Linked DNA regions of Caenorhabditis elegans. The protein of the gene in region 1 interacts with the protein of each later gene in a biochemical or structural test. Each region holds a gene or a part of one and is shown on either strand. Other genes may lie near its edges. The genes, in order: npr-24 and nlp-62.

The links.
Region 2: the proteins of npr-24 (region 1) and nlp-62 interact in a test that uses a peptide from one of them, tested with the Caenorhabditis elegans proteins (one large-scale study listed by BioGRID).

Annotation. Positions count from the first base shown.
Region 1 is NC_003284.9:17,482,358-17,488,573, forward strand, and holds npr-24 (G-protein coupled receptors family 1 profile domain-containing protein), read right to left. Parts: upstream 4,479-6,216; 5' UTR 4,439-4,478; coding exon 4,391-4,438; intron 3,561-4,390; coding exon 3,469-3,560; intron 3,322-3,468; coding exon 2,969-3,321; intron 2,288-2,968; coding exon 2,164-2,287; intron 2,119-2,163; coding exon 1,971-2,118; intron 1,890-1,970; coding exon 1,792-1,889; intron 1,295-1,791; coding exon 1,183-1,294; intron 1,129-1,182; coding exon 982-1,128; 3' UTR 651-981; downstream 1-650.
Region 2 is NC_003279.8:5,853,482-5,857,124, forward strand, and holds nlp-62 (Neuropeptide), read right to left. Parts: upstream 1,560-3,643; 5' UTR 1,541-1,559; coding exon 1,463-1,540; intron 1,385-1,462; exon of another isoform or gene 1,302-1,384; intron 1,099-1,301; coding exon 1,007-1,098; intron 952-1,006; coding exon 864-951; 3' UTR 718-863; downstream 1-717.

The DNA.
Region 1 (6,216 bases):
CAGTAGAAAGGAGGCCTGTATGTACCAAATTACCGGTTGACAAAAAATTTTGTGGTCTCGCAGCTGCTGGTTTTGTTACGAAAATGCCACCGTAAATTTAAGAAATTACTGTTAATAAATTTTCACAAACAACAAAATATTAGCAATGGGGCATCCGATTGCCGATGAATTACACAAAGTTGGGCAACTCCCATTGCCGGTAGCCAAAAACTACTGCCCTGGTTCACCAGTTTTTTCTGAACGATTTTTGGAAAATTTTACAGTTTGAAAAAGTTTTTATATTTTTTTACTCAAGAAATCTTGTTGCCGATTGTAAGACACGTTTGGTCTCCAAAATTTCAGATGTATTTTAAAAATTACGAGTTTCGCTGCAACATTTTAGCAATATTGTACTCCTCGCAGCACTCGGCAGTTGCAACTAGCAACATATTCGCGATTTTGCAAGAATTCGTTTTATCTCTGGTGCAATTTTTACAATTGTACAAACTATGTTTTATAAGTGTTTTGAAAAAATCGATACACCTGTGCTCTAAGTTAAAGTGGCATAGCTTACTAACAACCTGAAGCAATTTAGAACGCAAAACTTGGCACAGTACCAAACTCTTAAAGATTCGTATTTCCCTCGCGAGACACTTTATATTACAAAATCAGTTAATTCGAAAATAATTTATTCAATTAATTCTTCAAAAATAAATAATGTACATTAAAATGTACATTTCAAAAATCAATATTTTTTATATAAACAGTGTATTAGAGTGGGACCAGTGATATATTCCAAGTAAGTTCAATGTACAAGAATGCAAGGTTTATATGCGTTGTGTGAAGAGATTTAATTTATACTTGTGAAATATTTTGGTACTGCCGGTTACAATTCAGGCTATGCAAGGTCATGGCATTGGAACTGACTAGGTGTCACATATTAGAAGATCCAGAAGTATACCCAAAAGTTAACCCTAATATAAAACTGTGGCTCTGACATCTTCAGCAGCTACTGTAATGAGAATTGGTTGCTGATGAGTACAACGGATTATTTGTGACGTTTAGCATTTTACTGGTGTCCTGCGGATCAGTGGAGTTTTTGAGCATGATCTGCTTATCCGGTTTGGCAGTTCGTAATAGCTTTTGAATCTAAAAACACGTTTTTATTGAGGACTTTAGTTATTTTCTGAAATAAATTCTTACATTTTTCTGGAAAGAATCTGAGAGAAAAACGTAGAGGAACGGGTTCGCAGCAGAGTTGATGTACTGAAGGGCAAATGCAAAGTGTGTGCAGCAAAAAAGCAGGTACTTGCTTCTAGAAAAAAATAATTATTGCGTAAGTAATTCTTATGTTGAAAACGTTTTCATGTTAACGTAAACAAGCAACCAACGCTGTGTTGGTTTGTACATATAGTTTAATCAGCCGTCTCCAGAAACCAACAAGATGTTCCGACATTTAGTGCAAAACTTTTAAACTTTCAAATATGGAAGAAGTTTTTTGTCCAAATAAGTTTGTGTCAGCATATGTTTTTTCGTAAATTATCACCCCTCCCCCTGCCTTTATTGTTAGTTTCATTTTTATCTGACTGAACATTGTAAGTTTAGGACCACCGTAACCCGGAAGAGTTCACTTCAAAAACCACTCAACTCTCTTGTTAGTATGTAGTTTTTTTGCAACCCCTCCTTCCTGCCCCATTCAAAAGTTTCTAATGAGCAGTAAAACTCTCGGGTTTGAAATTTGAACTCCGGAACTTCATTAGAAAGTCACGCGAACTTTTTGGTTGACTTCCGCAATGTAGGAGGCCGACTTACTTTTCGAATAGATTTGCTTCAATCGACCATTGAACAATCCAAAACGGAAGCCAGCAGTGGGTGTAGGAGATGACAATGGCTAGCCCCATTATGGTTACCTAGAAAAAACAATGTTTTTCTAGAGTCAGAAGTTTCAAAGGTAGACTCGTGCTATTTTTATGATATTTCTGAATGCAAACCTTGGTAGTTCGTTTCTTGGTAGCCGTTCTTTTAGTTTGCATTTGTCGTTTTCTTTGACACATTTTCAATATTATTTTGAAATAAAAATACCAGACGGCAACTAATGGTATCAGATACGAAAGGGCAAATGTATAACTGATGAAGAATCTGAAATATTTCAAGTTTAACATCTCAAAAGAATTGACTAAGTACCTTCTAGAAGCCAGCATGTTCTGCTCGATCTCATTAAGCAATGTTTCATTCATTTCGGTTGCTGACTCGAGTACAGTGACGTTTCCAACAAATAGCATGCAGCTTCCTCCCCTGGCCTCGCCAGCTGAAAAATTTGTTGAAGTTTTAGACCGAATTGCGGTAACTTATACGGTCCTTTCGTACATTTCAGTTGATTTGATGCATTTACTTTTTCTTTTTTCTTTTCAGCCGCCTTTTTCGAATTTGCCGTTTTTTTCCAAATATATTTTCTAATTCTAAAGTGTTTTTGTTTTTGTTTCTACGAATGCATAGATTTAAAATGACTTGCATTTTAAAAAAGTGTTTTTTTTTTTTGCATTAATTTTAGTTTTGAAAACAGTTCTGAGTTGAACATCAAGGAACAAGACATATTCCGGAAATGAAAACATTTTCATTCTTGAAACAACTGTAGCTCAAGAAATTTTTAATTGTTTTGAATGTTTAAAGTTTATATCTCTCACTTTTGCGCCTTGGAAAAACAAAACAAAGAACTTTTCGAATTTTTTTAGATCAGTTCACGGAATTCTAAGTCATTGAGGGAATCTTTTTGCAAAAATAGGTCTCAAAAAATAGATAAAGCTTTTTAAAACATTCCAAAAATAATATAACATGATGCTAGAATGCTTATAACAATATGATTTCTTCCAAAACTACTTTTTAGGAGCGAAAGATGCTAGATACATAAAAATGTAGTGAAAATTCAGATCTTAATCTGTCCATTTTTAGACAATTTTAATAGAAGAATCAACGGAAATATGGAACTCACCCGAAGAAGATTTGATCAGCTTGACAAACAGGAACAACGGTGTCATTTCCAGAATGACCATTATCCATGCAGCCACAGACAATGCAAATGCCGCCTGTGTTGTTCGGAACGATTTCGACTGAATCGGGCGACAGACCGCCAGATATCTGTCGAACGAGAGTATTGCAATAAAGACGGCAGAGGCAAACTGCGATACTGCATTTCCAGATATGTACAGTTTACACATTATTGGTCCCCATATCCAACCATCATGAGACGACTGGGCAAATAGGGACACTGGAATGCCACAGAGGAAGAGGAGATCCGCAACGGCAAGGTTGAATATGTAGATGTTAGATATTGTTCTCATATCACTAAAAGTTTCATCATGATTTTTGATTTACTCTCCTGTCAGGGAAGAACGTTAAGTGCTACCCAATTCAAAATACGAAACATTTGATTTCCGATTGGATATTTGAGTTTCCTTTTAGCTTCCTGTTCACATACTCTGTCAAACTCACCGGAAGTACACAATAGCGGCCAGCACAAAAAGATTGGCAGGAATGCCAATAAGTGCGGTCAGACACCATGTAAGATGAGCAACAGTTTTGATCTGAAAATTGGAAGATAGCAATGAAAAATCTATTTTCGGTTACTTTTTCGGTTACTTTTCTATACCACTACGGTCAATTTCGTTTACTTTTCTATACCACTACGGTCTGAATGTGACTTTTTTAATCTTCAGATTTTGTTGATCAATTTAGTTGTTTATTTCACGTTATTTGATTGATTGAGTAACATTTGAAGCGGATAGGTGACAAAGTGACAAAAGTGGTATATAATTTTTTTTTTCGGAAATTTTGAAAAAGTTTTTGAAATTTAATCTGAAAATTCGTTCATTTGAGCACTGTTTGAGTCACAATTGTACAAATAAAACTTAAAACTCTTCAAAAAAAGGTGTGATTTAAACCGTTTTAAATAGAATTCCTTTTAACGTGCGTTTGATTTTGCAGCCGACATAGTTAGTTTTTTTTTTTAATTTAACTGTAAAAAATCCACAAATCGGTTAACTTGACGGACTTTCTATTGGCGTCATTTTCGAAAACTACTGAATTTGCTTTTAAAAACATTTACTGGTGTCTCGGTGAAGTTTTCTATGGATTTTCAGCTACTAAAACTAGAAACAAGTAAATAATGAAAACACAGTGGTTTCAGATCGCTGAGATGCCCCCAGAAGGAGTTTATTGGCAAAGAAGAATGAAAAGCAAGTAATTTTCTGATATTTGTTAAAATTTCTGCTGGTTTCTCAAAATCCAAATGTTGTACAACGTTAAGAGTACTTTTTAGTCATATTATTTTGATAGTTTTTGAAGAATTAGTTCATTCACAGTAGTTTCCTAAACACACTTTCACAGTAGTTTCCTAAACATACTGTAGACCTACCGGATCGATGACCTCCGTGAAATTTTGTTCGTTGGTGTTGTTCATCATCTGGATTTCTATATCAAAAGCGACATCGCAGTTCCTGAAAGCACTCATTTTTAATTCTTGACTAATTCAATAACACGAAAAAAAGTACGAATATTTGTAGCATAAAATGAGAACGAATCAGTGAGAAGAAAAACGGATAAATGAGAAGATGTGAGAAGACAAAAAGCGAAGATGAGAAAGTAGGCGTGTTCTCTCAAAAAGCACCACACTTTTCCCAATCAACCGTACCGAACGGCTAGATGACGCAGACAGCTTGAAAGTGCAGTAATTCTCAATGGGATTTAAGTTCAAACAAATAAAAAGTTTAGAAAAATGTCAAAGATTTGAAAAAGAACATCGTCTTGAAACTAAGCGGGGGCTGGCCAAATAAAAAATAGAACTTCCGCTGAAAAAGGATACGAGGACATCGAAGATATCTAGAGAGTAACATATGGTCTTTAACCTTCTCTGTGGGTGCAGACTAGGCCTGTGGGACAGATTTTGCCACACAGGTCGCAAAATTATTTTTTTGAAAATGTTGAGTGTCTGCAACTTCGGCAATTGTCAATAACTAAAAATATATAGGTATTCCCGCAAAACCACGATGTGGATGACCGAATGACCACCAGTCAAAATTATTGTTAAATTTTTGATAAAGCTCTGAAGGTTTCTTTAACTATCAGAGGCCGAGGCAAAGCCTTAGATAAAGCCTTTTCCTGAAAAAAACTTAAGCATATCCCTTGCTTAAGTCGGATCACAAAGCTCAAGCATCAAACAATGCCTAACTTGAGGTCTATGTCGGAGCGAAAGACAGAGCTTGAGCTTGAAAAAACCCAGAACTGTAACTAGACTAAATCCATAACATAAGCATCAGCATAAACATTTCTTTAAAGTAAAAGCTTGAAATTGAGAAAAAAACTGAGCTTAATATCAAGAGCAAGCCTAAGACTAAGTCCAATTTTAAGCTCAAGATTTTGCTTAGGCGGAAATCTGAACTCAAACACAAGCCTAGGCTAAAGTCTAAGCCTGGACATAAGCTCAGGAGTCATAAAAACAAAATTGCTCATTGAGCATCAGAACCCTTCATATGAAACACTGAATCATCATGAAACTAGATTCGAATAAAAAAATGCTGACCAAATAAAAAATGAAACGAAATAAACCGAAGACAACAAAAAAAGAACTTCCTTTGAAAACGGATACGAGGACTTTAAGACATGTGTGTATACAAGAGCATTGAGAAAATTCAGAAAAATGTGAAAAGATGTAATCGAAAGTGTAGGAAAATGATGTTTGGGAGCAAGACAATATTGGGCAATGAGAAATACGATATGGGAGGCAGAAAGGAGGCAGAAAGTAACCTGACAATATGTTTTGACACCGCGCCGACCCCCCCCCCCCCCCCCCCCCGCTTACCTGCTCACCAAAACAAGACTGTTTGTCGGGGAAAAGTTACCAGAATTTTGAATTCCAGACAGAAAATGATCATCGAAACTTGCATTGTCCTCCTGTCTATAAACAAAGTTCACAAAAGGAGCATCATCACATGGCTCTTCCCGTTTTTCAAGTCCAGTTTGATTACCAATTTCCGGTGGCCACGATTCAAAAGTGCAAAAAGTCCTGTGAATGTGTGTCGAAGAATTTTATTTTGAATCAAGATTTTTTAACCGAATAAGGCAAACAATTGCTAAAGTAAGATTAGAATTAATTATGTAAAATCATTTTCTGTTATTTTGCAACACCTTTGTGAAAATACTAACACCATAAGGCTGGAAAAAAACTTGCGAGAGCCTCTCACA
Region 2 (3,643 bases), on another chromosome or scaffold:
GAGCAAGTTACCAAAAAATTTTACGTGAGAATTAAAATTATGTTATTTTTGTTTAATTTTTAGGTCGTTTCAGAGAAAAAATCACTTAAAATAAACATGAAATTCGTAAATAGCGTGTTCACAGCTTTCTAAAAATATTTTTTTCGACCAAAAAATCGCAATTTAATTTTTTCGTCCATTTCTGGAGAAGCAAAAGTCCGATTTCATTTTTCGGAGCGAAGGACGATTTTGAAGATGGACAGTGTTTTTTGAAAGATTTTTTAGGACATTGTACTCAAAGGAGTGATCATTTTTCAAAATTTCAAGTCGATACGTTGGATATGAAGAGTTTTATGAGCGAAATTGGATTTTTTCGAAAAACAGTCTGTAACTTGGCTGAACATAAAATATCAAAAATCTTGAAACTGATAAAACGTGGAGAAATATTTTTTACTCACTACTCAATAAAATTTTAATTTCTAAAATCCAATGGAAGTTTAGTTATGAAGGGTACAACAAAAGAGTTATCAAGATTTTTCGTGAATTTTTGAAAAATGGCTTTGACTCTGTGCAACTCTACAAATAGTTAGTGTATTAAAATAAAAACTGATGAAACAAGAAGGAAAAAATATTTTTGATCATTTTGTTAGTAGAACATTTGTTTTCTAGACGTGTGGACCAAATAACCGCTTAAACTCGCTAAACTGAATATCTTCAAACTGGAGTTTAAATCATGCCTTAATACTTTTGACACGATTTATTTTAGAATGAATGTGAGAGAAAGCAACGAGGAAGATATTTTAATTCATCAAAAATAAAACAAGTAGAGATCAAAATTTTGACGAGAAACAAATGTGGAGCACCAGATTTTGTGAGGAGTTGAACTAATAACATGTTATCGGATTGAAAAAACATCGATTCCTTTCAATTATCTCAACACGACGTTTCAGTAGATCAATTCCACGCTTTGGTCTGAAATTATAGTTAAATTATTAGAGTATTTGGTAACTTAGTATTAAATTATTACCTGTTATCTGCATTATCATCATCAACAGGTTGTGGAGCAAAATATCCTCTAGCTATGCTTTCCTGATTTATATCATCGTAGGATCGGAGAAACTGGAAAATGTAACTTTCAGAACCAAATAGTGATTTTATAATAATTCTGTTTCTTCTGTTTCAAACCGATATACTCGTGAATTATGATATTTAGTGAACAATTTTGTTGGATTTACCACTGCAAAAATAACGCAAGGCGCGCCGAGGAAACGCCGTGCGCCTTTAAAGTTTTGTTTCAAATTTTGCACGACACTAATAAGTGCAAAATTTAAGTGGGCTGAGCCGGGGATCGATCCCGGGACCTCTCGCACCCTAAGCGAGAATCATACCACTAGACCACTCAGCCACAACTTTTCGTCTTTTTATCAGACTGTCAGACTGATAAGGGTACTATTCGGGAGGTCTAAATAAATGTTTAACTAACCAAACTCCGAAGAGGAATCGCTGATGTGAAGCTGCAAAGAAAGGCGAAAAACAAGAGAAAAACGAAGAATTTCACCATTTTTTACCACTGTTTTACTGTAATTATGAAGAATTTTAGATAGGGAATTGAAAAAGGCAATAGGCATTCATTGAATAAGAAAGTTAAAAAAAAATGGTTAGCCCGAAACGAGTGGAGATTACTTATTATTATACATACGTTAAATATATGATGCGGCGGCTGCCAAAACACAGCAGCGGACACTTTGCGGGTGCAATGAAAATAAAAGGGGGAACTGGATGCGGGGATTTCCAAAAAAAAAACATATCAATAACTACTTTAGGGTTAAAATTATTACAAAATTTAGTTCTCCGAAATAAACTTAAATTTTTTTCGTCTTGAAACAATCTAATAAAACATTTGTATCGTCTTAAATTGTTCCATAATTTGCTGTAAAGAAACAAAGAAGATTTTAATTTTGTGAGAACCTGCAAATAATTTTGGAAGAAAATAGATTTGGCACACCTAAAATCAGATCAAATTTGTACAAAAATATTTGGAAAATATAACTATATAGGCTGCACCCAGTGGCGTGCATCAGAACGAAAAAGGGCCCAAGGAAAAAGTGAAGAAACACGAACATATAAAATATTACAATTTAGAAAATTATGAACCGTTTTTATTTTATTTTCTTCCCATCAAAACCCGCTGATCAGGGTAATTAATAAGAAGTTTTTGGTTTAAAAAATAATTTAAGAAAATGGGCGGCGCGAATACATCAGATCAAATTTCTGATCTGTTTTGTTTTCACTTTCATTAGAGCATTCAATTCCACTTTATATCTCAAATTGTACTAGGCTCCGCCCTTATATTTTTTGAATCCTAATAAAGTAGGTAGGCGTGGCTTAAAAGTATATGTGGAGATTTATATAATCTTGGTGGAAATTTGAAATTCGCTATGAAATTTGAAATTTGCAATTGGGATAAAAAAGAAATTTGAGCCAAAAAATTGGCTCAAAGGTCGTACGAATAGGGGAATGTAATTAGTATTTGTTGGAGGAGGAAGAGCTTCTCACGTTTAAAGAAATTCAAATGAAATTGAATACATACTTTCTTTTGGCCTAAATCTTTTTTGAGGACCATTAGTGGTGTAGAAGGAATATTCTGGGGGTGGAAGGAAAAGGGATTTATGACGTTTTTTCTTTGTCTTTTTTAGATTTCAAATTTGAGAAATGGCACTGTTGTTTCGTCATGCACTCGAATGATGTACCCACGGCGTTTTTGACAAATTTGAAGCGAGAAAATTTTCGGGAATTCGAGATTTGAAGTCCTAAAATAACTAGTTTTCTTTAAATAGAAATTAAAAAAGGTTTCATTTATTTCAACTGAGTTACTTGTACAGATATCCTCAACCTTCGGGGACGCCTTTTCCCCGCCTCATGACTTGGTAATTGGTAACGTCATTCTATATTTTAATGAAACTAGAGGGTAAACAGTAGTCGAAGTTTACCGTAATCTTTTTCAGAATGAAATAGAGAGCCTAAAATTCAGAACATCCTAACACAGAATGCCGGCAGAAGACAAAAGAAAACAATTAATCAACAAAAACATTTGGACTAAAAATTTGGAGAAATAAATCAAAAAAAAATCGTTCTACTTTAGATGTCACTCAATTGCTACTGCAAAAAAAGAATTTGGTACTGTAATAGTAACATATCTTTGTTCTCTCTTCCACTGCCACCCATCAATGATTACGAAAAATTGGTTGAAGAAACTTGTTATCAGTTATAAATAAATAGTTATAAAACATGCAGAACACGTGTACCCTACTCATTGTGAACCGGATGATCAATTATCATAAACTATATTTCTGTAGTAAACGGGAAATTCCCGTTTTCCGCAGACTATGGACGCACCATAATAAAACATATTGAGCTAAAATCCATACAGAATAACGTTTTCAATTGGGCATAATCGTTTCAAAATTCCTGTCAAAAAGTGGGATTTGGGAAGTGTAATCAGATAAAAATTAGCCAAATAACAAAAATAAAACAGATTTTAAATTAAAAATAAACAAAGAAAAACATGAATATCAAATTACAACACTTACTACTTTAGTGGAAAATAAATCGTATCAAATGGAATTTTATCTGAATTCGGAGAATTTCAAAAGTTCCGCGAATA